Drosophila melanogaster: one gene and its partners. The protein of the gene in region 1 interacts with the protein of each later gene in a pairwise test. Each region holds a gene or a part of one and is shown on either strand. Other genes may lie near its edges. The genes, in order: spz3, CG16984, CG34353 and Lmx1a.

Region 1 (7,760 bases):
CCAGCAGCTGGCCAAACCCAAGTGTTACAGTTTAAGTGACTTATTTGCATGTAAGAATGCGAAAAAGGAAAAGTGGCTCAAGACACCGCGTGTGACCCTGAAAAGGGGACCAGGGCAAGAGAATCACCCACAGGCCAAGTATATTACCGCATATCCTACATCAGAAAAATTCCCCACTCGTAACTGATTCATCCATCAAACAGGAGACACCATTAAAGGGCGTTTTTCCCAGAAAAAATCATGTCCAAGATAAGATCATAGCACGTTGAGGCTGTTTTATCCATTAGTTGCATCCGTTTCCGGCTGTCTAGATGCTGGGAGCTCCAATTCGCGAGGTGCTAATATGCAAAGTGGACGCATTGATCCGAGATCTATGACGTTGACACGACCACACCTCCATCGCTTAGATGAAATATACACCGAGTCATTCATTCATAGCATCATCGCCGCCATCCATTTGCTCATCGCCCGATGCACTCGACACATTTCAAATTACCGCCGCATAACCCCGTTGCTTCTGCCCTGTGGCCACTGGCCACTGTTTCACCTGGCTAAGAGAGTGTAATATAACCGCAGAGACATGGTCATGGAGATGGGGAGAACCCTACGGAGGGTCTCCCACCAGCCACTCTCTTTGGATGGCAGTCATGTGTGTAACAAATCGACCCGCGATGCTCTTCACAACCAGTTTTGAAAGCCCACTTTAAATATACTTTTGCTTTTCATTGCCTTCGATGAGAAATAAAACAGCGCAGACGTCGTATTCGGTTTGGTTACTGTGATTAATATGCGTTTCTCGGCAAAAGCCACTAAAATGTATATCAGCCCATGACGACGCATCCAGGCATTGACCTAGGTCACTAATGCCAGCTAAACGGGGTTCTCATTAACATCAACCTAATCCCACTTTGAGGGATGCCGTCGGCACCTGTCGAAGAAGATTCCCCCGGTGAAGGTATAGGAAAGGTATACTCAAAATTGTATTTGGCTCCAATCCAGAATTGGATTGATTTCAGAAGTGCACGTAACTTAATTAGTATGCGATTTCCTTTAATTAAGTCACTTCAAAGGAAATTCAGCGCATAAAGTTAAGCGATTTAAAAATCCAAACCAGCTTTTAACTATGCCAGAAGATAAACCCCTTTTCTTAATTAAAACATTAAGCCAAATATAATAAAACACCTTAATGCTGATATGCGGTAACTGTCAACAACTTTAGGTTCACTTTTAAAACCCCTCAGATGATTAAAGTAAATTATTTAAATTTATTGGGTTAGTCCATCAATCATCAACAAAACATTAATATTATGTGATCTATATTATAACTATTCTGCTAATACATTATAGTAATAGTAATGAAAAAATTCGCTTAAACATATTGCTAATAGTGATTCACTAAAATTTATTAGAAACCATAATTAATAGAGAACTTTTCTGTATAACTTGAAAATATGTCAGTTTTTTAATATTTTTGTTTATTTATCTCCGCCTCTAAGAGCATTTGCTCTTCGATTGGCTCAGTATCGAATATTTTCCGGTTTTGTTTTATTTTTCGATTTGCCATTCAGCAGAAACCGAAAAACGAAAGATAAAAACGCAACTCAGTTCGCCGAGCGTTCGCTCTTAGCCAGATTCCGAGATTGAGGGAGCTGAGCGCAATGTTTCAAGTCGGAGATTTTGAGATTTCGAGAGTTGAAACATTTTCCACCCATTAAGTTTGTTTTTAAGGCGCACGGCGAGAACGGCTCAGTCTCGATTGTCAGCTTGTCGTGAATGGTTTTTTAGCACACACGCGGACCGGGGACCGAAGCAAAAAGTTCGCGCTTAAGTTATTTAATAACAACAACATCGTTTGCACATACCTTAATATCGCCATATATATATATAAACGACATAGCCCGCCGATCGACGCGTATGTGTGTGTGTTAATATTCTGTGTTTGCCAGTGTGTGTTTGCCATTGTTGCCAGGGGTGGGAAGCGGGAGCTGATCTGACTGATTTGTTATTTTTGCATAAATCAATTTCGAGAGCGCGCGCCATCGATTTCCGTGCGCTGATCTGTTCTAAATGATGTCGCATGCGCGTCCGGATCGAGTTTGTCGCTTAAGTCTTTCGTTTGCCAACTGAGAGCGCTAGCATATTTCGCACGCCCATGGCTCTGACCAATTTCTCGCTGCCCTTCGGTGCCCTGGGCCAGCCCTGGGGAGTCACCATAGCTCCCCTGCATCCAATCCACCAGTTGGCCAGCAACACAAATAATCTGCTCTACTCGCCAGCTGACCACCAGCAGCAGACTCCCGCGGAGGCAGCCGCCGATCCGGAGTACTTCAAGAACAATCCCTATGCGCCGCCGCAATCGGGTGGTTATCAATATCAAAATACAGCTGGACGACGCAAGCAGAGTAACGCCTATTTGCCACCGACAGCGCCGAATGCTGTCCGGAATTCCGTTTACCACATCCAGCAGGTACAGCAGACGCAGCAGCAGCAAACGCAACAACAACACCAGCAGCAGGATCAGCATGAGAACAGCGTGTCCTTCCAGAGCAGCAGTTCCAGATCAAGTTCGAGCAGCACCACGGGCCAAAGTTCCATCCAGCTGACACAGACTCATGCGAGTGGCCGGGGACCGGCGGAGGGTTCGTACTCCCGTTATCCCGGACAGCAAGCACAGCCGCCGCAGCAGCAGCAACCGCAACAGAAGCAATATTTCAATGCACACGGCAGTGCCAGTGCCACTTTTACTAAGAACAGCGGCAGCTTTAGTATTACCAGCTTTGGCAGCAGGCAGCAGCAGCAGCAGCCACCGCAGCCGCAACAACCACCGCCATCGCAACAGCAGCAACCACCACCTGCACCACCGCCCCAAAGGTCCAGGCAGGCCAAGCCGGAGGCTCAACCAGCTCAGACATACGGAGTTGCCCCGCCGGAGAATTATCCGGAACGAGCACCAGGATTTACACGGGTTCAGGCTGGTCAGGGATCCAGGACTCAGGTACACGCCGTTCTAGACTACGACGTGGAGGAGGGTGAGGAGGATGAGGAGGAGGACGGAGAGGAGGAAGGACAGTTCTACGAAGGCCAAGAGAATGGTGAGTACCCAACTGGATATTTTACTATAAGGTGAAACAAACTAAGGAATTAGAATTTAAAAGAACGAGGTCAGATTTATAATAAAATAGTATACTATTAAATGATTAATTTATCGAAAGGATTTATATGAATTTGCATAACAGCACAGGAAGCTGAGTTCTAAGCTTAAGGAGTGCATTATTTTTAAAATTCTATATGCCAACTTGTTAACCAAGAAACACTTCCAATTGGAATGCCTAACTACCCCACGAATAAGTGACTCAAGCAGACGTTAATTAAATGTATTTAAGTGCATAATAATGTGACAGTATGATCTATGTAGAACTTTGGTTGAAGAGGCCGAGAATCACTTCCTCATTCATCCAAAAGAAATTCTCCGGACTTTGTCGTATCACTCTTCTGAGTACATTCCAGTTCGAGTGTTTCCTGATTCACGGAGATGGCAATCTTAACAATTAACAATTAAAAACGAACCAAATGTTGGTGGCTTAAATTGTTTGCTTTTAGTCAAGTCATATGTGTAGTGTGAATTTAGAGCATGTATGTAGATTCACAGAGATAAGCGGCATAGAGTCCCACGTTTGCACACGATTCGAAAGACGGGCGCTGAAAGTCATGTTAATTTCTGTGGTTTCGCCTGCTACTTGTTTTTGTGTATCTTTCCAATTGAGAGCAACTTCTGCACAAGATCGCCGAGCAACTATAACAAATAACAAACCTGTGGGGTAAACAGCGCACAAGCAACGAGCGGCGACAAGGTCAAAGGTCTACAAACCGATCGGCAAGGTCACTTTCAAGACAGTAATGGCCAGTGTTTGAATTTTATAGCAACTAACAGGCTGGCACGCATCACGATTTATGTTGTGCCGGGGTGTATCTGTATCTAAGACCGTCTATCTAACGGCTCAAGTATCTACGTATCTTCGTATCTGAATCTGCTGCCCTTGTTGTCCTCTTGGAAAACTGTCAGCGGCGCTTCACTTTTTCGGATGTTTCACTTTCGGTCTAGCTTGTGGCGCCTCTTTGTTTCTGCCTCTCCATCTCCATCTCAATCTGAATCTCAATCTGCGAGTTGTCGAGGCATTAGCCAGCCAGCAACCTGCCAGACTTGAGACCTCAAGTACTCAACTCGGTTACGGGGCTATTATGCAAGAAGTCGCGTTTCAATCTCCCGAAATGAGGGGCAAGGGGCCGAGCTCATGAACCAGCTCTCATATGAAGACGTGCGCACGCAAGACCAAAACTCAGATACTAGTTTGGGTCGCTCGATGTCTTGGCGCGGCACTCAAGTACTCAACACTGGGTTTTCACCTTTGTGCAGGCAGAAAAATATCATAAAAGATGCGATCTGAACCAAAGATCAGTGCACAGAAACAAAGAATCTATTTCACAACCTGCCAAAGAATATATCTCATTAGCTGAAAGTGACATGAGATCTGAACACTGCGAGAAAAAAGTATAGAAATCAAGAAAAACGTCATAACATAATAACTAGGATATTTCTTAAATATTATTTTAAATCTGACAAATTTGTTTGGTAAGACATTTTTCCGGTGAGAGCTATAAATTACCTAAATAATTCAAAAGTCATAGCATAATAATAAGGAAACCACTTGTCTAGAACCCTTCAATTCCATTACATTTAGTTTAAGTAACATTTTGAGGAAATAAGTTTTTGCACTGTATGCTCCCTTTTTTGGATTCTGCAACCCGTTTTGCATCCTGCAGTATGGCTATAAAAGGGAAAGTTTCTGTCTGCGCCCAGATCCGGATCTGGGCATTACAAATGCCAGGCAGACATGAAATTTATACATGCAAGTGTCAACTGCAGTGCGATTTGTATGCAGACACCGAGTGCACTTGCAGTTGCAATGGCAGCTCTTTTTGGGTTTAACCGGGCTGATTAATGCAGTGACAACGGCCACGGATACAGCAATTCCCCCGTCCTTGCCATGAATCACCGCCGAAACAGCAGCCATTTAAAAGCACTCCAATTTCCATTTTCACTTCATTTTCGAATCCATTTACATTCCGTTCACAGATAAGTCGAATAACAATCAGATGCCCACAGTGACGCCCATCCAGGGACCGATTTACTTGAAGAACGGGACGGTTCCAGTGGTGCCGCTCTTCTCCTATCCGAAACTCAACAACGGATCGTTCCTACAGATTCCGGTAAGTACGGATCGATAGGTTCGCCGGCATGAGGTTCTAAGCCCGCGCGCACTTTAATTGACACACTGCGGAAAATATAGATCGCAAATAAAAGTAGGAGTCAAAAATCATTTATGAATTTTAAGTAACAAGCAGGCATCACCTATTCTTCCCATTTCTGTTTATATTGAAAATAATAAAAATTTGATTTGGTCTTCGGTGAGTTCTAGTTTTCCCGATTTCCTACAGTGTACTCTCGATATCGATCGAGTTTGTTCATTTGCGGAAATAACTTTGACGATTTTGTGTTTCATTTCGGTTTTATTTTCCTTTTTTTTTTGTTTTTTTGCGCACGAAGGTCGTGCGAGTTCGTTTCATTAAGAGGTGTGATGATGTTGATGACGACGAAAGAAGAGAGAGATTGATATTGAAAATCTTCGCATGGCGACTCGAGTAGGCTTAATCCCAAAATCCAACTCTAAACTGCACCGCCCGCCACGGCTACACCCTTCATATCTTCTTATTTTCGAATATAAAACGAACTTTTATGTTTATGACTTACTTGAGTCATTTTCACACCCCGGCCATAATTTGTTATGGTCGCCATTCCAATCTGAGGCTCAGTACCCCGCCGAAACTCAATTGCCGTCTTCAATGCTAAATAGTTAATACTTATCGCCCGGACTGACCATCGTATATCTCTGGTTAATTTAGATCTGGTGGACGGCTTTGTCGGTGGCTTTGGGACTGGATGTGCGCGGCGATGTCATCAAGGGAGTGCCGTGCATCAAGCGATATCATCAACTGTTTTGCCCCACGGCCGGCAATAGTTATCCCATGTAAGTAACCATTGTTCTCTATTTTTGGGCTGCGGGAAATCCCGAGTGGAAATGGTATATTGGTATTTCCCTTGGAACAGTCGTATAACTTTAACTCTCTTGATTAAGTCAAGGATGTTTGCATTTCTGTGGGTTTCTTCTACCAGTTTTTTTTCCCAATGAAACTGATCTGAATCACATTTAATCCGGATGACTGTTCTAAAATCACATAGTTAACTGTTCTCATTAGCATAGAAACGTAAAATTACCATGAATTTCATCACTAGGCTTAAAGCAAATCCAAAAAGTGTGACTTTCAACGATATTCATTCCAAAGTTCATTAACATTGGGTCCCAACATTTTGCGCTAAGAAGATATTAATTTCTTTTAATTAATAATATCATTTTCTTAATTAAAGATAAATTTTAATTACTATTTACCGTGGGTTTTGACCTCATTTCATCTGCTTTACGGACCCTCTCAAATCAATTAATTTTTCTCAAATGAGTATTTATGATCAATCTTTTTAGTGAATCACCTGATTTGGCAAAGTATTTTGTATTTTAATTTTAAATACGGTCACTTCCTTTGTTATTATAAAAATAAATTCATTAAATACGTCATTTTACGGCGTACACCTGGAAGAAATAAATAACATTAAGTTCTTTTAAATACTTAATCAATTATTTTATACAAAGCTAAACTACCTGCTTATTTTTAGTGACAAGATTGAACGTTTCATAGACGACAACAAGGCCCTGATGCGACGGATGTACGGCGACTTTGAGATGAACATGGAGGGTCCTGGCGGAGGAGGTGGCAGACAACAAGGCAAGGTGCGAAAGCGTCGCTTCATAGACGAGCCGGATATATTCATACCCCCGGGAGCATTTGCTGCCAATGCCGGGGAGACCGTCGAAGCCGGAGATAGTTACTTTGGCCAACTCCGGAAAAAGCGCCAAGCTGCCGCCGGAGGAAGTCGAAATAGAGGCGGATCTGCCGGAGGAAGTGGCAATGGGAACACGAATGCCAATAGGCAACCGGGAAATAAGAATGGTAGTTCGGGCACTGGAAGACTCGATGCCTGCGAGTCGAAGATTGAAATTGTCACACCGTACTGGGCATCGAACTCCGCGGGTAAGATCAGAGCCATCGTAAATACTCAGCATTTCGAGCAGGCGATTCACCAGGAGGTTTGCAGGTTAGTACACTGTTAACTAAATAGTAAACAAAACGAATAATGAAATGATTTTTTTTTTTACTATTTGTAGCAATACCCAAACTCCAAGATGTGAGGGCGAGTGTGGATGCGAGCAGAAATACAAATGGCATAGATTACTCGCCTACGATCCTGATAACGATTGCAAGGGCATTTTTATGGATTGGTTCCTGTTTCCTTCGTGCTGTGTCTGTAGATGTAATCCCTAGATTACCTGACTCTGAGCAATTAATACATAAACAATTGATAAATGTAATTGAGACAAGTAATTGTAGGTAGAATGCCACTGAATGTATTTTAGTTGTTGTTAAGTAGACCTTACGTAAGCCCTAATCGGTAGCTCTAATTATGAACAATTCTACACATAGTTAAGATTTTATCCGAGCCATATGTATATCTCCACTATTCTCTATATCCCCTCCATCAACATGCGATATTACTCAGCCTCCATTTTTATTGTACGGTAATTATAAAC
Region 2 (3,283 bases), on another chromosome or scaffold:
TTTCGATACGACTTCATGGAGCAGGCGGACTGCCCGCCGGTTAACCGGAAACTTAAGCCAAAGGTGGCGGGTGGATTGCCAGTTGTAGAGGACAAACCGCCGGAGGAGTTTCCTGCAAAGCCCCCGGTGGGCGTAGATCAGTTAACCAATAAACTGGGTGCAGCCCAACTGCAGCAGCCCATTGGACCGCCCAGTGTGGACAGGAAGTGCAAACCGAATGCCTATAAGGTGAGTGACAAACGTTGTGCACACCCATATTCAATTTACTAATGACTTCTTTTTAGTTGGGCAATTCGGCTACCATGTCGCCGGCAACGCGACGTTCCTCCGGTGCCCCTCTCTCAATGGTGCTGCCGCATGAAACGGATGTACACTCCCCGGCGGCAGCCAACGCCTTCTTTCACGAGACCCGCACCCTGCCTCGCCAACAGCATCGGCATCATCCGAACAGTCCCGGCAGCATGTCGGTACAACATCAGCGCACCGCCTCCGCAGCGGCTGCCATGATGAGCTTGACGGCAGCAGCTGCTCCCAAGCAGCAAGCGGCGGCGCAGACTGAGCACAAGCTGCAGTACTTTGATCTGGATGTGACCAACAAACCGCCATTGCTAAATCGATCCAGCATGAGTGTGGGGAATCTGTACTCACAAGGCGGAAATGGAGCTAGTGGAATGCGATTCGCAGGCGTCGAAGCTGGCGGAGCTCGAGCGCCAGTGCCTAGCAGCGTGGTCTATAGATCCGTGGACTTTGTCAAGACGGAGGCATTTAAGAGGATTCGAGAGGAGCGCGAGAGCAGCGGCAACAAGTGAAACTGCTGGTTCAGCTAAATGAAATCATATCTCCAGTACATCTACTTGTCAACGTGCAATAGCAAAGGAAGGACCATGTTGCTGATCCGAGATTTTCGTAGTGCCTATTGGTGGTCAGCTGAGGAGAGCTGACCCCATCCAAAAACAGTGCAAATTTCGAGTGGCTTTTACATTCGTTAACATCGTCAAATTCATTATTCATTAAACCACATATCTAGCTTGTAAGACGGCACCAGCATTTCTGTGTGCTGTTTTGAATCTGTAATCTGTAACCCGTATCTGAATCTATGTCGTATTCGTATTTAAATCGTGCTTCCAACACTTCCATGTTTATTGTTAAGCTTCGGAATCAAAATGTAACCATGACAAACGATCTTAGTGCTAATTTTACAATGCAAACAATTATTTTATATACGCAAGCGAAATATTTATATACACGAATTTTATATGGTAACAAATTATTTACAATTTAATAATGTAACTCGTGTGCGACACAAGCTGTAGCTTGATTTTGTGCTTTAAAAAATATATATACAATAATACCAATTTTGTGTGTTCTCCTAAAAGATCCAGAACAAATATCGAATTCCGATTGCTAGAAAATATCTGAATATTACAATATCACCAGGAAACGATGTTGCCTTCTGTTTATTCTGGAAATCCTATAGCAACCTTTGTTTCGAGTTAAATCAATCCAAGTCAACGCAGAGGTACTTGGCAACGCAGGAGTCTCCACCAAACAGACTGTTATTATTAAACGAATAGTCAGTAAACTAGCACGCTTTCGAGTTCCCTACCTTCATCCTTACATATTTGTATTACAATGTCCCTGGTTTATATCACCCATCACGATGAGAATATTCTCGAGTGCGAGCAGGACTTTGTGAAGGCCCAAGGACCTAAGGAATCAATTTTTGTCTACAAAAATCGTAGGGATTCGTACTAAAAATCGTTACCTCCCACCTAACTTTAAGCAATTTTGCAGCTGTTGTGGAGAGGGCAGCCAAGTATGCCAAGAGACTTCGCGAACGCTTTAACGAGGAGGACAAGAAGCTATCGATTATCCTCCAGAACGATGGAACCCGCGTCCTGACAGAGGCCAAGAAATCAGCCCACCGCACCATGGGCTGTGCTCACACTCCGATTGACCCACCGTGCGCCTATTTGCGCAAGAGCCAGGGCATCAAATGGCGGCGAGAGAACACCCACAAGTGTCCCAAGATGCCGCCAATGCCCCCACTACCACCACCGGGCAGTGGCGGCAAAAAGCCGGCAATGGTACCTAACTTCATCAAACGCAACAAGATATGTGCCGGACAAACGGTTCCCTGTCCCCCGCCACCTCGTTATGTAGACACTCCCGTGGGAGCTCGTCACGATCTACTCAATTCCGGATTGGTACCGCAGTTTATCTGCCGCAAGGATTTCGGCAAGGTGCCTGTTTACCTCAAGAAAACCAAGAGGATGTTGGCCGACATGAATGCGGTGTGTGCCAAGGAACAGGCACGTTTGCTGGAGCTGTGCCGCGGTATCAAGGGTTTCACCAGGGCATCCGTCCAATCAAGTGGTCCGCCGCCAATGCCGGGTATGCGGGTGATGGAGCAGGCCGAGCGAAATGAGATCCTCGAGGGACTGCGACTGAGCCTGACCGAGATGACCAAGCAGTATCAGTCGATGTCGCTCCTTATCGACAGCATCGCCAAGCGGCAGCGCAAAAGCAAGCTGGAGTCCGATCTTCGCCAGGTGGAGCAGGACATTCTGCTAATCGAGACCACTCCCATTATCTATGTTTCCGAGTACTAACAATGACACACACACCTTTTCTGACCATGTGTGTCGGCATCTGGAAGCCGAGTGAGGTGTCTCCATGGATTCACTTGCTTTGCTCTTAGAGGCGGACACACAAAACACTTCGTAATTAAGATTGAGAATAAATTTAACGTTTATGCATTAAACATTTCCGTGGCAAAGCTTCCATGGCAAACGGGACATGTCAGATGTCTCCCCGACTCGTAGAGTTCTTGCAGATTGTCCAGCTCGAATAGGATTTGGCGGTTGCAGAGGCTGCAGTAGCGTCGCTCCAAGCTGAGGGAGATCTGTACGGATACTGTAGTCTTGTCTTAAAATGAATTCTAGTGAATTCTTACCTCCACAAAGGACACACTGCATCGATGAAGTTGCTTCTGGGGATTAGATATCACAGGTATACCTAGCATCTCGTGCAAGTGCTGAATATGGTTGCCCATTTGTTCAACGAATGTCCTTGCTGTGGATCCTAGGGCATGGTTTTCCGTGAAGTCGTCATTGAGTTTATTTATCAGTCTGTGGGCCTCCTCGAACATACATTTTATCGCCTGCTCCTGGAATGGTGATCTCTTACTTAATGACCCAATAAACTGGAGCCTCAGTCTTATGTGTGTGATATTCAGCATCGCAAGGAGCAGCTGCAGTTCATCCCGGGACTTTTGGATGTG
Region 3 (4,994 bases), on another chromosome or scaffold:
AATCTTGCACCGATGACCTGTCAAAAGCTATGAAAATAAATAAAATAAAATATATCTCTAGTACCTTGTTTAAGGACTAAGGACCTCTTTACAATAGCAAAGCAATCTTATGTTTGATGGCACAAACTATACAATCGTATTTTTGCGTAGTTTCTCTTTTCCCAATTTATACATTCCACTTAAAAAATACGTTTTTATTCTTATTTTGCTAAATCAAATTATAGTGCATATCTGACAATTTTGCTCTCTGCAGCGATTGAGACAACAAACGACAAAGCAGCGATGGCACGATGCGTATTTAGAATGATTTTGCCCGTGGGTTGCATGGGATGTGGTTTGCTTTTTCCACTGGTCCATGTCCCGTGTCCCGTGTCCCGGGACATGTCCAATGTACATCTCGATGGCATTCCGGCGCACTCGTCATTGGGGCGAAAAACAGAGGACTTTGCACGCCATTGAGCTGACGGCACTCCGGCGGAAGAAGGAAAAAAGGACGAAAGGCACACTTGCAAATCATAAAACAACAGACGCGAAGAAAATGTTTTTTAAATCTTCATAAATATTCATTATGGGAGCGGGGCATGGCAAATAGTTTGGGGCTGTCGGCGATGCTGGGAAACTGGGCCTGGACACTGGCCAGTCCTGGCGAGTCCTGGCGAGTCCTGCGACTCCTGGATAAACAAGGAGCTGGTAACCATTGGCACTCTGAAGCCGGCTAGTGGGCGGTAAGCTTCATTTCGCAGATGGCAGTACAAGAAGTTTGCCAGAAAACAAAAACAGAAATGGCCAAAATAACAATAAACTGGCTCGAGGAGCCTAAGTAAGAAAAGAAAATGAATTGGGGGCGCATTTCAAGTGTGTGTCGGCCTTGAAGCGTGAAGATGTGGCCCAAAACCGAGTCGAAGTTCATGTCCATGGCCAAAATGGCCAAAATGGGCAGAATGGCCAATGGAACGAGACGAGCAGCAGAAAAAAAGCAAACAACTATAAATAACACAGAACTCCGATGGACAGAAGGACGCACCACAAAGCTGTCAATTAGCAGAGTTTCTTACTTAATTTTGGAATTTTCAAATATTTGGGGGAAACAAGAAGTCCAAAATAAACATCATGGCGTGGTGAAGTTTTGAGGGTTTTGGAAGATGTTACCAGATGTAACACTACATATTTGTACACTAGGTTGCTGCTCAAAGTAATGAAAAGATAAACATTGTTCGTTTATGCCAATTGGTTTTGTTTATATTATAAAAATATTCTTATATTTTCTTTAAAGAAAACTTTAAAATATTAGAGTTATAAAAATATAGTTAACCAAACAGTTCGAGCTAAGAGAAAATATCCCTTTTTTATCAAGAGAACATTTCCCACTTAAAGTAAAGCTGCAGAAAGCTTTAAGCTTTCGTATCCTTAGATGCGATTTGAAAGCGGTATCTCATTTAAAATTAGGTTAACTAAAATGAACACAGTTAAAGACATTAAAGGATATCATAAATATTAAAATTGCTATGCATGAAAAAAAAACTTATAAAATAAATGCATACACCTGCATTATTATTTTAAACATAAGTAGTTCATTTTGTTAAAAACTGAAATAAAATATCTTACAAATGCTTAAAACTGGAACATAAGTACTACTATTCCTACTATCTCGCCGCGAATGGGTTCCATAAGCCGCCCACTATATTCTCTCTTTAGTTCTGCGGCGAGAAATTTTCTCTTCGCTTGTGGCACACATTCATTGCGATTGCGGCTGTCGAACGGCAGCAAACAAAAAGAGCAACAGCAACAACCACACGCGCCAGAAGAGGCTCTAATACCAATTACATTGTGCGGGTCGTTCGTAAACTCCCCCCTTCCCATCCTGTCGTGCTCGCTCGGCTAACTGTTGAATCAACGAGTGGTTGCCGACGTGCCATTCGTCCGTACTCGTGCGACCTACGACGAACGAATCGTACGGTCTTCAGTCCTATTCGAAACGCGATAGCAAACGGTTGTGTGCTCTCGTCCCACTGCCACCGAAAAAAAGGTGTTTAAATTGAATCTGCACAAGTTTAAGTCGAAAATCGAACTCGCGGTACTTTATAATTAATAGTGAATTGAATTGAAGTCACTGAGGAAACCGCTAGAGAGAAATCAACTCTAAAATACTTTGAAACAGAAGTGTTAGTAAAGTGAAAGTAAACAACTATCATTCTGAAACCAAACCAAACCTTCCGTAAGTTTTCGGGCTTTTTAAACCGGCAAACCAAATCGCGGTTCGGGATTTCGGTTATAAAAACTGCTCCTCTCGCGTCGTCCCTTTACCGTTTTTTGGCACCTACGCGCGCTCTCTCGCTTCGCCAAAAATTTTCCGCTCTCTCGCGAAATACCGTTGGGCCTACACCGCTGGGCAAGATTCTAGCACCATCAAACTGGCGCATACACATTGCCATAAATTGTGATTAACCACAACGCAACCGAAAGCGACAGCAAGACGAAGATTTTTAATTAAATTAAGAGTGAAAAATACCAGCAGCCGCAACAACGGCACCAAACGTAAACAATCAGCGCCGGCAAATTAAATATTTAAATATTTGCACTCGGAAAATTGTGCGGCATTTTAAATTAGGACTCCCAGGCGGTGCAGCATCGCTGGGCATACTAAAGTGACATATCCCGTGCTCCAGTGATCCCCAAACATAAGCAAACGCCATAGACGGTGTGTGTGCCAAGCCAAAACACAGCCATTAATAAAGCGAGGAAAGGCAAATAAACAATCGGGTCAAAGTGCTTAGTCAGGCTAAAAGAGCCAAAAATCCGACAGGAAACAATAATCCGGAAATTTTGGTGCGAGGTAAGTCCCCTTCACCTGTTGAAAGTGGAGTCATCCTTAATACAATTATTCATATGCACATCCGCATACATAGAGCGCTGCATTGACGAGTGGCATTAAGAAAAATAAGGCAATTGCACAATTTAATTGGAGTCATTGTTTTTGTTTCGCCGCTCTGGCTGCATTTTAAATGCCTGTGCTGCAATCATTCAGCTGCATAATTAATATAAAATAAAGCTATACGATTGCCTTTTTTTTTGTTTGCTTGTATTCCTTGTCGCTGCTTTATTGTTTGTATTTTTTAACAATTAATTAAAAATATGTATGATGTGTTTTCGCACTTCAATTGGCTGCGAGAATTCTATTTTATTTCGTTTTGTTTGCCAGTTTATCATTTTTTCCACCCATAAATCGCCGTTTTGCCATAGGCTTTGGCCATGGCCAATTGCAAATTGCAAAAGGTTTGAAACATTGTAAAAATGCAGTTTATATAGAAAACAATTATGCGCCAGTTGCAAAAACACCGAGCGGATCTGATTGAAATGGCATAAATCCAAAAGGAAAACCAAATCTCTCGATGTGACAATCACAGTTCGTTTACTCGCATAATATGCCAGTCGAGCTTAATCGATTGATATCCGTATAAATTATGAATGCTTGCTGATCATTTTGCGGTGGTAGGGCACATTGTTTTTTAAATCTGCTTTGAAATTCAATTGAAAAAAAAATGCATTAAAACTCATCATTGTCAATCCTATTTAAATGGGATTAACTTTGCCTAATACAATTGTCCAAAAGGACAAATTCATAAATAGCTGCAAATAGTTGAATACTACATATAAACATTCTCTATTTTGTATAAAACCTGGTTAGACTTTAGTAGAATTGTAGTTATATTGATTTAAACCTTAAAGTTTTAAAGTCCCTTCCCAATTTCCCGATTTCATTCGAAATGTACTCAATAATTTACGACGTAACACAATATTTTCCAGCAAGAAAGGGCTGAGGCCAAAGAAACAATTTCGATATTTACATACATGAAAAACCGTGGTGAAAATGGGGTTTCAAAATAAACGCATGCATATCGTATATGTATCTTTTCACACGGTGCAATATATAAATGTGTATATGGGCAACTTTAATTTCCGTTTAATACTGCGGGCAGCCGCCGAAGCTTAAAAATGAAAGACATATCAATAAATAAGTGCGTCCAGCCCGCGGAGGAAAATCGAGGAGCCAATATCCCAGAACATTTTCCACAAAAACACACACACGCACTGGAGAACTCACACGCACACACACTGGCATAAATAAGTCAGCGCACATAATGGTTAAATAATTAAAGACACACGAAAGCCACAGCAATCACATGGCATAATAGTTAAAGACATTCATATTTATATTTATTGAGCTGCATTCATCGGTTGGTCGAGTTCGACAGCCATTATTCAGAGCTGCCAGGACTCGCAGGATCCCCAGGATCCAGTATTCTGTATTCGGTATCCATGCCTGACCATTCGCCATTAATTGTATCATGGCCCACAAAATGCAATTTAATTCAAGAGCCAGCTACTCTATTAAGTTCCAATTGTTATTCAAAATTCCAAACGCCAACTAGCGCATACCTCATGTTTATGGGGGCGTGGCAGGTCCTGTTGTGGTAATTGTTTTAAAGCATTCGTACATAAATTTGGCTAATTAAACAGGACCGCACTGGACGCGCACACAAATACATACACACACACACACACACACGGGAATATATTCCATAATAATGGAATAATGTAAATAGTAGCCTCGACCGACCACAAACAACTAGCCAGCATTATGGGCCATCTGGAATGTCCTGGCAGGTTCCGTGCGCGTATGCATATGGTCGGTTGTATTGGCCACGTCGATGGCAATAATAACAAAGCATAATTCATAACAATAAAACGAGGCATACACGCACTGACTGCAATTGGCTTTAATTCAATTGCCCGTGCATCGATTGGTTCTTGCTTATTACCTGATTTCGAGTCCATAGCCCTATGCCATGCATTCGATCTCGTCCTTGTGCCGTTCCATCTTCAATTGCTGGCATATCGAAATTGATAAATGCCGAGCTCGGAACGTTTTAGTTTAGTGCGCCACACTGGAATTCATAATTAATTACCAACATTTAATTGCAAATTGTATTTGC
Region 4 (7,946 bases), on another chromosome or scaffold:
CCGAAGCGACTGGAAAGCGGGAAAAACAGGGCGAAAAAGCAGCAAGCAATGCCGATTCCTTGTACAAGTGCCGCTGCTCGATGCCAACAAGTTTGGTGAAAAGTCTCCCACTTGGCCAACTGGCAACCAACGGCTGCTCCCCCTGCGTCTGCTTCCCCAGGTATCCATGCTAAGCTACGGAGCACATATCCAGCGTAGGCGACTCCTTGGTTCACAACTTCCACGCCGGTCGGCAGCCCGCTGAGCCAAAGCCTAGTCTTAAGCCGAGGCCCAAACATCAAGTTACTGCCAGGCGATGGTGTGGTGGCCCAAAAGGGGGCCAAGAATTCGAGCTTCGACTCCAGAAGTAGCGCCAAACTTTTATGCACAGCACCATGTTTGGTTTGTCTTTCCAGCTTCCGCTTTTCTTCTTGCCGCTCGGGTTTCTCTTTTCCTTCATCCTTTCTCATCCTCGGTGATAGTATCTGTGCTTCAGTGTGTGCGTGTTTGCGGGGGCGGATAGTTGGGTTTCGGCCTCTTTGGGGGCGCCGGAAATGGGGCTGCCTCCCAGTTGTCGGTGGGCTTTTGATGCTCATACAGGGTGACATTGCCACTTCCGCTTTAAATCGCTGGAAATTAGAGGGGTATGAGCATTGAAAACTTAATAAATCTTAAATCTTGCTTAAAAGCAACTTTTATTTAATTTAAAGATATTATCGGAATAAGAATTCTATAAATGTAATTTCATAAAAGAAACTTATTTTTATGAAGTCTTACAACTTTGAAAACTGCTTAAAAAAGATTGATTTTGAAAAGAAATAAATAAACATCTTTTCTCTTTGAGTAACTACAATAAATAATGTCTTGAATCAATTATAAAGAGATTATACTTCAGTTTTACTAAGTTCTTTAATAATACTATAGTCACAGACTTAATCTTCACTTTTACAGTAGACATAATAACATTAATGGAATAAAATGTATGGAAATCATTATCCAGAATTCAAAACTAGTTCATTTAAATTTTAAGAATCCTTTAAGAATTTCAAAAAACTTTTGTTGTGAGACATTAGGTCCTTAAATAACCTGCCCAATGTATTGAGAAGCACCCGTTCCCATCTTGTTTATCGCCAACTTTTTTCACCCGCAAAAAGTAAAATGCAAGTGCAAAAAAGCGTAAAAGAAGACAAGGCCATTGTTTTTTTCTGCCTCTACTGCTGCCACTGCTGTGTTTGTTGCCTTTGTTGTTGCTGGCATTCTGGTCCAGTCGTGCCACTCAAAGAGCCAACAGCAGCAGCAGCAACAACTCAAGGAAATTGTCGCCGTCGAGCGGCAAACTCGCCAAAGTTGCCGCGAGTGCAAGTGCAAGTATGTCTTTGTGCCCCATCAGCAGCAGCAGCAGCGGCAGCAACACCAGCAACAACCAGCAACATGCAGCTGCCGCACGCCCACCGATGGCCGCCCACAAGCCGACTTGGTCTTGCATTAAAGCCAAGACATCTACGAATATGAGAAAACCAAATATAAAAAAAAACAAAAGAAAAGAAAACCCGCACTTCCCCTGCGCACATGCGCCGTGCGGCAAAATGGACGCCGGGGAAATGGCCAGCCAATCGCAGCGAGGCTGAGGTGTGGCCAGCGATTTGCGAGGGACTTGCTCTCTGCCAGAATTTCCCTCGCTGCTAATAATCACTTGAGACATGCGCACTGCCGGGGCAGAGAGGGGGTTGCTGCAACCCTTGCACCGATACAACCCCTGGCATCACGTGCAACACGAAGAGCTGCTGTTGTTGCCGCAGGCCAAGCGGCAGTTGTTGCTCCGCAGCTCCGTTGCTCCGTCGCTCCGTTGCTTTTGTAAACAGGCGCAGGCGCAGTGCGCGGGGGTACGTTTCAGCTGGGATTTTTTTTTTTTTTTGTGAGGGCAAAGTGAAATGCTTTGATTTCGCTGATGGTTCGATCACACGCCAACTGACAGCGAACGCGGCTGGTTGTCCTCGCATTCGGCAGCGCAAGAATAGGCCACCGAAATCATATTCTAAACGAAACTGAACAGAAGCGTAGTTAAAGTTAAAGCAAAAGCAATCGAGCGTCTTGTTTGTGTGTCGCGTGTTCCTTGTGCGGTGTTGCATGTGACATTTTCGTAGACTCGAAACTAAAAAAGTAACAGCGGTGTTTTGTGGCAACTCGTATACGATGCTGGAGTTCTACCCAATGCCCACGAATCTGAATCCAGTCGGTGGCAGTTTGTACTCGCTGCAGCAGAATCATGGCGGCGCGCGATTCCTGGACAATCCAAATCCCGGCAGCATGACTGCCAGCAGCGGCAACTCCCTGCATCTTAGCAATAGCAACAACAATCTGCCAACAAGCATTTCCGGCAACAATAGTCCCACGGCAACGGCTTCATTAACGGGGCAGCATCAGCAGCACCAGCAGCAGCAACATCAGCAGCAGCAGCAACACCCCCACCAGCAACATCAGCAACACCAGCAGCAACACGCTGCCTCGACCACGCCAGTGCCAATTAACAGCTGCCCCACGCCCACAGGACACAGCCCCCTCAGCAGCAGCAGCAGCAACAGCAACCACAACAATAACAACAACAACAACAACGGGGGCAGCAGCAGCAACAACCTCCACTCAGCCTGCAACACATTAACAGCTGCTGCTGTTGCCGCTGCCTCTGCCGCTGCTGTGGCAGCTCCATCGCCAGCAGGCACCTCAGTAGCCACCTCGCAATTAGGCGGAGCAGTTGCTGCGGCGATTGCTGCTGCTGCTGCGGCGGCTGCCGCTGCGACGACACCCACATCGACGGGCCCAGCGGCCACAGGAAGCGGAAATGCAAATGGCAGTGGCAACGGAAACGGAAATGGCAATGGCAATGGAAACGGGAATGGAAATGGGAATGGAGGTGGTGCAGCAACGGCATCGGCAGCAGCGGCATCCAAATTGTCTGCCGATTGCAGCGGACGCACAGGTATGTTCCAAAAGTATTTTGCACCGGCAGTCGAGCAATTTACCGGCTCGTTCCTCTTCTGGGGTTTTCACGCTTTTCGTTTTTGGCATACTTGCGTGTGCCCGGCCTGCGGGTCCGTTTCTGTATCCGCATCAGCATCCGTATCCGTGTCCAGGTTCGGTGCTGCGCTGCGTGAGTTCCAAGCTGGTCGGACGAGGCTCCAGATTGTGTACAACCACCCACACCTGAGTATGCCGGCAGTTTGCGTGCGATGTGCTCGGCTTTTTGGGGCCCAAGGAATGCTTCTCTAGGGGAAAATATATAGATATTCGTTGTTTTTTCTTGCGAATAAAGTTGAAGTGCTTATTTCAAAAGGTGTTTACTCCTGAAACTTTTCTTTAAGCGGAATATTTCAGCATTTATTGATTGCAGTAAAAATTAGCGTATATATTCATAACATTAAAATAATATAAGAGAAAAGTATTCTTCATATTAATTAGCCTAAAATCAAAAGTAAATAATAATTTAAAAAACATTAAATAAGAATGTTCTTATTTGTTACTAGTTTGCTTTTAGTTTGCAGAATGCAAGTAAAGTCAATTTGGTTAGATATATCATAGGTTTTGTTAATTATTATTGTATCAATATTAGCATAAATCCATGTTTAACTTGGAACTTAATTGCAACTCAGCTTTCAAAGAGTTGGATTTACTTTTTAGCAAGTGAAATAGCCAGAGGCAGATTGTCCACTTATGTAAAAACAGGCAAAAGCAAATGCACAATTTCCGGCTAACACGTACATATATATTGACAGAGGACAATAAATTATGAATTTGTAGTTGTGATGGCGCACACATGTTGTGGATAGTTCAGTGGGCGGATGTGCGGCAAGCATGGCGAAAGTATTTCCAAAAGTATGAACGCAAGTTGACCACAAAATAATTTTGACAATGAACCTGTCTGACATCCGCCCGGCACGGCCAAAAAGAGGCGTGGCTCGACCAATAAAAGGCTATTAAAGCATGCCACACACTGCCTCCCTCCCACACACACACACACACACACACTGATGCTTTGGCATGCAGGCACACATACACACACACTCGCATGCATGACAGCCTCAAAATAGGCAACACTTTTCAGCTGAGTTGCAACGAAAGTGTTGCTGGGGAAAACTTTTGCGAATTTCCCTCCGAAATGCAAAGTGTGCAAACAATGTGTGTGATGCATATGCAGACCAGACCTCGTCCGAGGCTAAGTGGATTGTGTTTTCGGTTTTTTAGTGCCCCTCATCCGCCCACTCAATCGCCCACAATAGCTGTGCTCTCTTGCCGGCCAACTTTGCATTTGCCTATGAAATTTCTATTAATGCTCGCATTCTGCCATTTGCTATTTGCCATTTGCCATTGCCCAAATGGCAGCAAATAGTTTCCGTTTCCGCTCGTTCCGTGCCACTACCCCAATCCACACACCACTCCCCGCCTCTCATCCTAAGCTCCATTTTCCTCGGCAAACACTTGGATGCCGGCTGCTAAACTACTATCGGTGGCCCACACTTTGCAGAGGTCGAGGAATTTCGAATGGGCTGCCATTGGGGGTGGTGTGCACTCGGGGGCAGACCACGGAAATGAGCACACTCAGTGTCAGGTATTCCACCGAGCGTATCAGCATACATATTTGGCTTCTGCGGTGGCTCCAGCTTCGTCTTCCTGTCCTACCCACAAACCCCACCCACCCAATCGCCAGTAGGTGTGCATTTGTGTGGCGGAAGTATGCGCCATACGCATAGTTCTGTGTCACTTTCCGTTGAGATCCAGCTACACTGAAACAAAACTGCTATTCAAGAACTATACGGAAAATCCACTGGAACTCACAAAGAGTACTACATTTGAGTTTAGAATGCAAAAGTCAATATATTTTGCAATCCCTATTTGTAATTTGATTAAATCTGTATCTTACATTTTAAAAGAGTAGTTTTTGAAGTTCATCCTATTTTATTCATTATTTTATATTATGATTAATACCATTTCCATGGTGTAGATAGCAACGAAGAGTTTTAAAGACCCTGTTTGTTTGTCAGTCGAAATGAAAGCTGTCGAATTATGAGCTGCCTGTCAACGATGAACTGCTGCCAAAATCCGCGTGGCACGTGGACTGGACTCCAGTTAGTGGCCGAATTAGTGCCAGAAGTTGGGTGCTGTCTGCCGATTTATCTCCATATAACCCCGCCCCGCTGTCAATGTGTCAATAAATGCACCATATAGTGCGACAATCGTGGGGCGTTCGGGCAGATAAGCCCCTTTATCGGCGATAACGACGAGGACACTTTTCTCTATTAGTTCTATGTTTATCGTCGAGTTGATTTTGGATTTATCTGCTGTTTAATCTATGTATTTGACATGAGTGTGCCGCACTTGTTCCGACTGTTTGCGCTTGTTGTTTGTTGATTTTTGGACAAGTTTCGCCCAGGCTTTACCATTCAAGCCCAAAAACACACACTCACTCAATGCAGAGTCCTTTGTTGGCCAAAACAATACAGAGAAATCGGAAAAAAAGCATACATAAAACTGCAGTAAAATGCCATAAATTTCGATTAGATTACACAAACGAAATCCCGTCACAATATCGATGCTCAAAGCTCTACAAAAACATGAGGCCAAACTCAAAACGCAGCTCCCCTCTGGGGTTTATCAAATGAATCATTCTTGATTTTTTGCTCGGCCCATGCAAAAACCTTTATCGCCAATGCGATTGGATATGGATACTGCACAATAGGATGAAATGCAAGCCAAAAAACAGAAAAAAAAGGAAAATAGGAAAATGCCCGAGGACATTGTCAACTTTCCGCTGCACTGGCTTAGCGCCCCCTTACATAGGGATTTTCGTCCCTATTCCCAGACTATATATCACCCATACAGCCACATTCGCGTAGATATGGCGACTGTGTGCGTTTGTGTGTGTGGGGAGGCCATTGTGCCAACCATAAATCATGCACATTTTTCTGCCACTGAGCCACAGCCATATAATATAACACTCCACTTCCATTGCCAGTTTCCCTCCGCACTTTTTCTCCACTTTCCCTCCGCACTTTCCCAACTCGCTGCTCATTTTTCAAATGCTTCCATACATTTTTCGTGGCGGTCGTCATATATTTTTTATGTTTACTGCATGCAGCTTTTGTTGTGTTTTTCGGGTACTACTTTTTATGACTGGTTTACAGTTTCAAGAGCTCCGTCTACGGGAGGATTAGGTTCGTTCTACTTTGGGTAAGGCGAGCTGAAATCCAGTAGCTCCTCAATGGGAGATTAGCATTTTTTAAGGGACTTTGTTTAGGAGTTAAGCTTTGGCTTAAGTTCGGTGGTATATACAATATCAATTGAGCCATTTTCTGGCATGTTTATATACATTGATAATCGAGATGGGGGGCTGTTCAATAATACCGAACAAATACGGAAAACTTTACGTTTCAATTACGCATCAATAAGCTTTCAATACAAGCTGTTGCAGTCCGACGACAGATAATTTTTTCCAGCGAAGAGTTTTCCTTCTGTTTTTCCATCGAAAGTGCGAAACAGCGAACGGAAAAACAAGAGAGACGTTGAAGCATTTTCACACGATTCGATTGTCAGCGCGCTCCTTGCTCCATTGGCAGCACATGTCATGATAATTTCGCAGCGACATGTGCCGCCATCACGTATACGCCACGTACGCCCATCACAGTAGGGCGAATAAGCGGAGTTACACTGGAACAAAATTACTAAAGTATTAGGATTCTTCTTTGAAATATTTCTGTTCTCAAGAAAATGTTTCATATATATTTTCCAAGTATGGGTTAAATATTCGATTAAATTGATTATTAATGTAGATAGATATATTTATTATATTTTAAACCTCAGTGTATTAGTTACTTGAAATGTATTCTGCGACTTACTAACGCGACTTTTTTCCCCCATCTTTGCTTGTTTCATCCCCAGAAGTGGGCCACATCAAGTGCGAGAAGAACTTCGAGCTGTGCGAGGGCTGTGGCCAGAAGATCCATGACCGATTCCTGATGAACGTGGGCGATGCCAACTGGCACGAGCAGTGCCTGGCCTGCTGCTACTGCGGAATGCAGCTGCACCACACCTGCTACGTGCGCAACTCGAAACTCTATTGCAAGATGGACTACGACCGGCTGTTCGGTGTGAAGTGCTCCTCCTGCTGCCATGCGATCCTGCCGCAGGAGCTGGTAATGCGACCCATACCGAACTTTGTCTTCCACCTGCCCTGCTTCGTTTGCTACGCCTGCCGATTGCCGCTCCAGAAGGGCGAGCAGTTCATGCTGCGCGATGGCCAGCTCTTCTGCTATCGTCACGATCTGGAGAAGGAGATGTTTCTGGCAGCCGCTGCTGCTCAGCACTGTGGGTTCGTTGGCCTGGACGAGGAGGATTTGCTGAGGCCACGGGATGGAAGGAGAGGTCCGAAACGACCACGCACCATCCTCACATCGCAGCAGCGCAAACAGTTTAAGGCCTCCTTCGATCAGTCACCCAAACCATGTCGCAAAGTGCGCGAAGCCCTGGCCAAGGACACCGGCCTATCGGTTCGTGTAGTGCAGGTGTGGTTCCAAAATCAGCGCGCCAAGATGAAGAAGATTCAGCGCAAGGCCAAGCAGAATGGTGGCTCCGGCGGAGGATCGGGCAGTGGGCGTGGCACGGGCAATTCCAGCGCCACCGACGATAAGGACACCAATGACAAGGAGGACAAGTGCGTCAAGCAGGAGCTCGGAGGAGATAGCTCCGGTTATTTGGGTGGATTGGACAGCACTTTCGCCAGCCAGCCGCTGAATCCCAATTTGCCCTTCTCACCGGATGGTAAGTGGTTCGATTTGAAGTTTGATTTCGTCCAAGCATTATTCTACAAGTACTAATGGCTTGCTTTTCAACAGACTATCCGGCCAACTCGAATGACAGCTTCTGCAGCTCGGACCTCTCGCTGGATGGGAGCAACTTTGACCAGTTGGATGACGATG

What was found.
Region 2: the proteins of spz3 (region 1) and CG16984 interact in a two-hybrid assay, tested with the Drosophila melanogaster proteins (one large-scale study listed by BioGRID).
Region 3: the proteins of spz3 (region 1) and CG34353 interact in a two-hybrid assay, tested with the Drosophila melanogaster proteins (one large-scale study listed by BioGRID).
Region 4: the proteins of spz3 (region 1) and Lmx1a interact in a two-hybrid assay, tested with the Drosophila melanogaster proteins (one large-scale study listed by BioGRID).

Annotation. Positions count from the first base shown.
Region 1 is NT_033779.5:7,873,539-7,881,298, reverse strand, and holds the start of spz3 (spatzle 3), read left to right. Parts: upstream 1-1,746; 5' UTR 1,747-2,152; coding exon 2,153-3,092; intron 3,093-5,134; coding exon 5,135-5,268; intron 5,269-5,961; coding exon 5,962-6,086; intron 6,087-6,787; coding exon 6,788-7,267; intron 7,268-7,337; coding exon 7,338-7,494; 3' UTR 7,495-7,760. UniProt on the Drosophila melanogaster protein: Neurotrophin which may function as a ligand to the Toll-related receptor Tollo. Involved in a Tollo and JNK signaling pathway that positively regulates neuromuscular junction (NMJ) growth in presynaptic motorneurons.
Region 2 is NT_037436.4:2,594,238-2,597,520, forward strand, and holds CG16984 (uncharacterized protein), read left to right. Parts: upstream 1-1,543; 5' UTR 1,544-1,632; coding exon 1,633-1,738; exon of another isoform or gene 1,739-1,794; coding exon 1,795-2,612; 3' UTR 2,613-2,752; downstream 2,753-3,283. Other genes in the region: dos (daughter of sevenless), read left to right, coding at 1-228, 285-809; CG12182 (uncharacterized protein), read right to left, coding at 2,753-2,905, 2,957-3,283.
Region 3 is NT_033777.3:27,902,810-27,907,803, reverse strand, and holds the start of CG34353 (uncharacterized protein), read left to right. Parts: upstream 1-1,960; 5' UTR 1,961-2,833; intron 2,834-4,994.
Region 4 is NT_037436.4:12,327,298-12,335,243, forward strand, and holds the start of Lmx1a (LIM homeobox transcription factor 1 alpha), read left to right. Parts: upstream 1-1,934; 5' UTR 1,935-2,172; coding exon 2,173-2,956; intron 2,957-6,909; coding exon 6,910-7,788; intron 7,789-7,862; coding exon 7,863-7,946.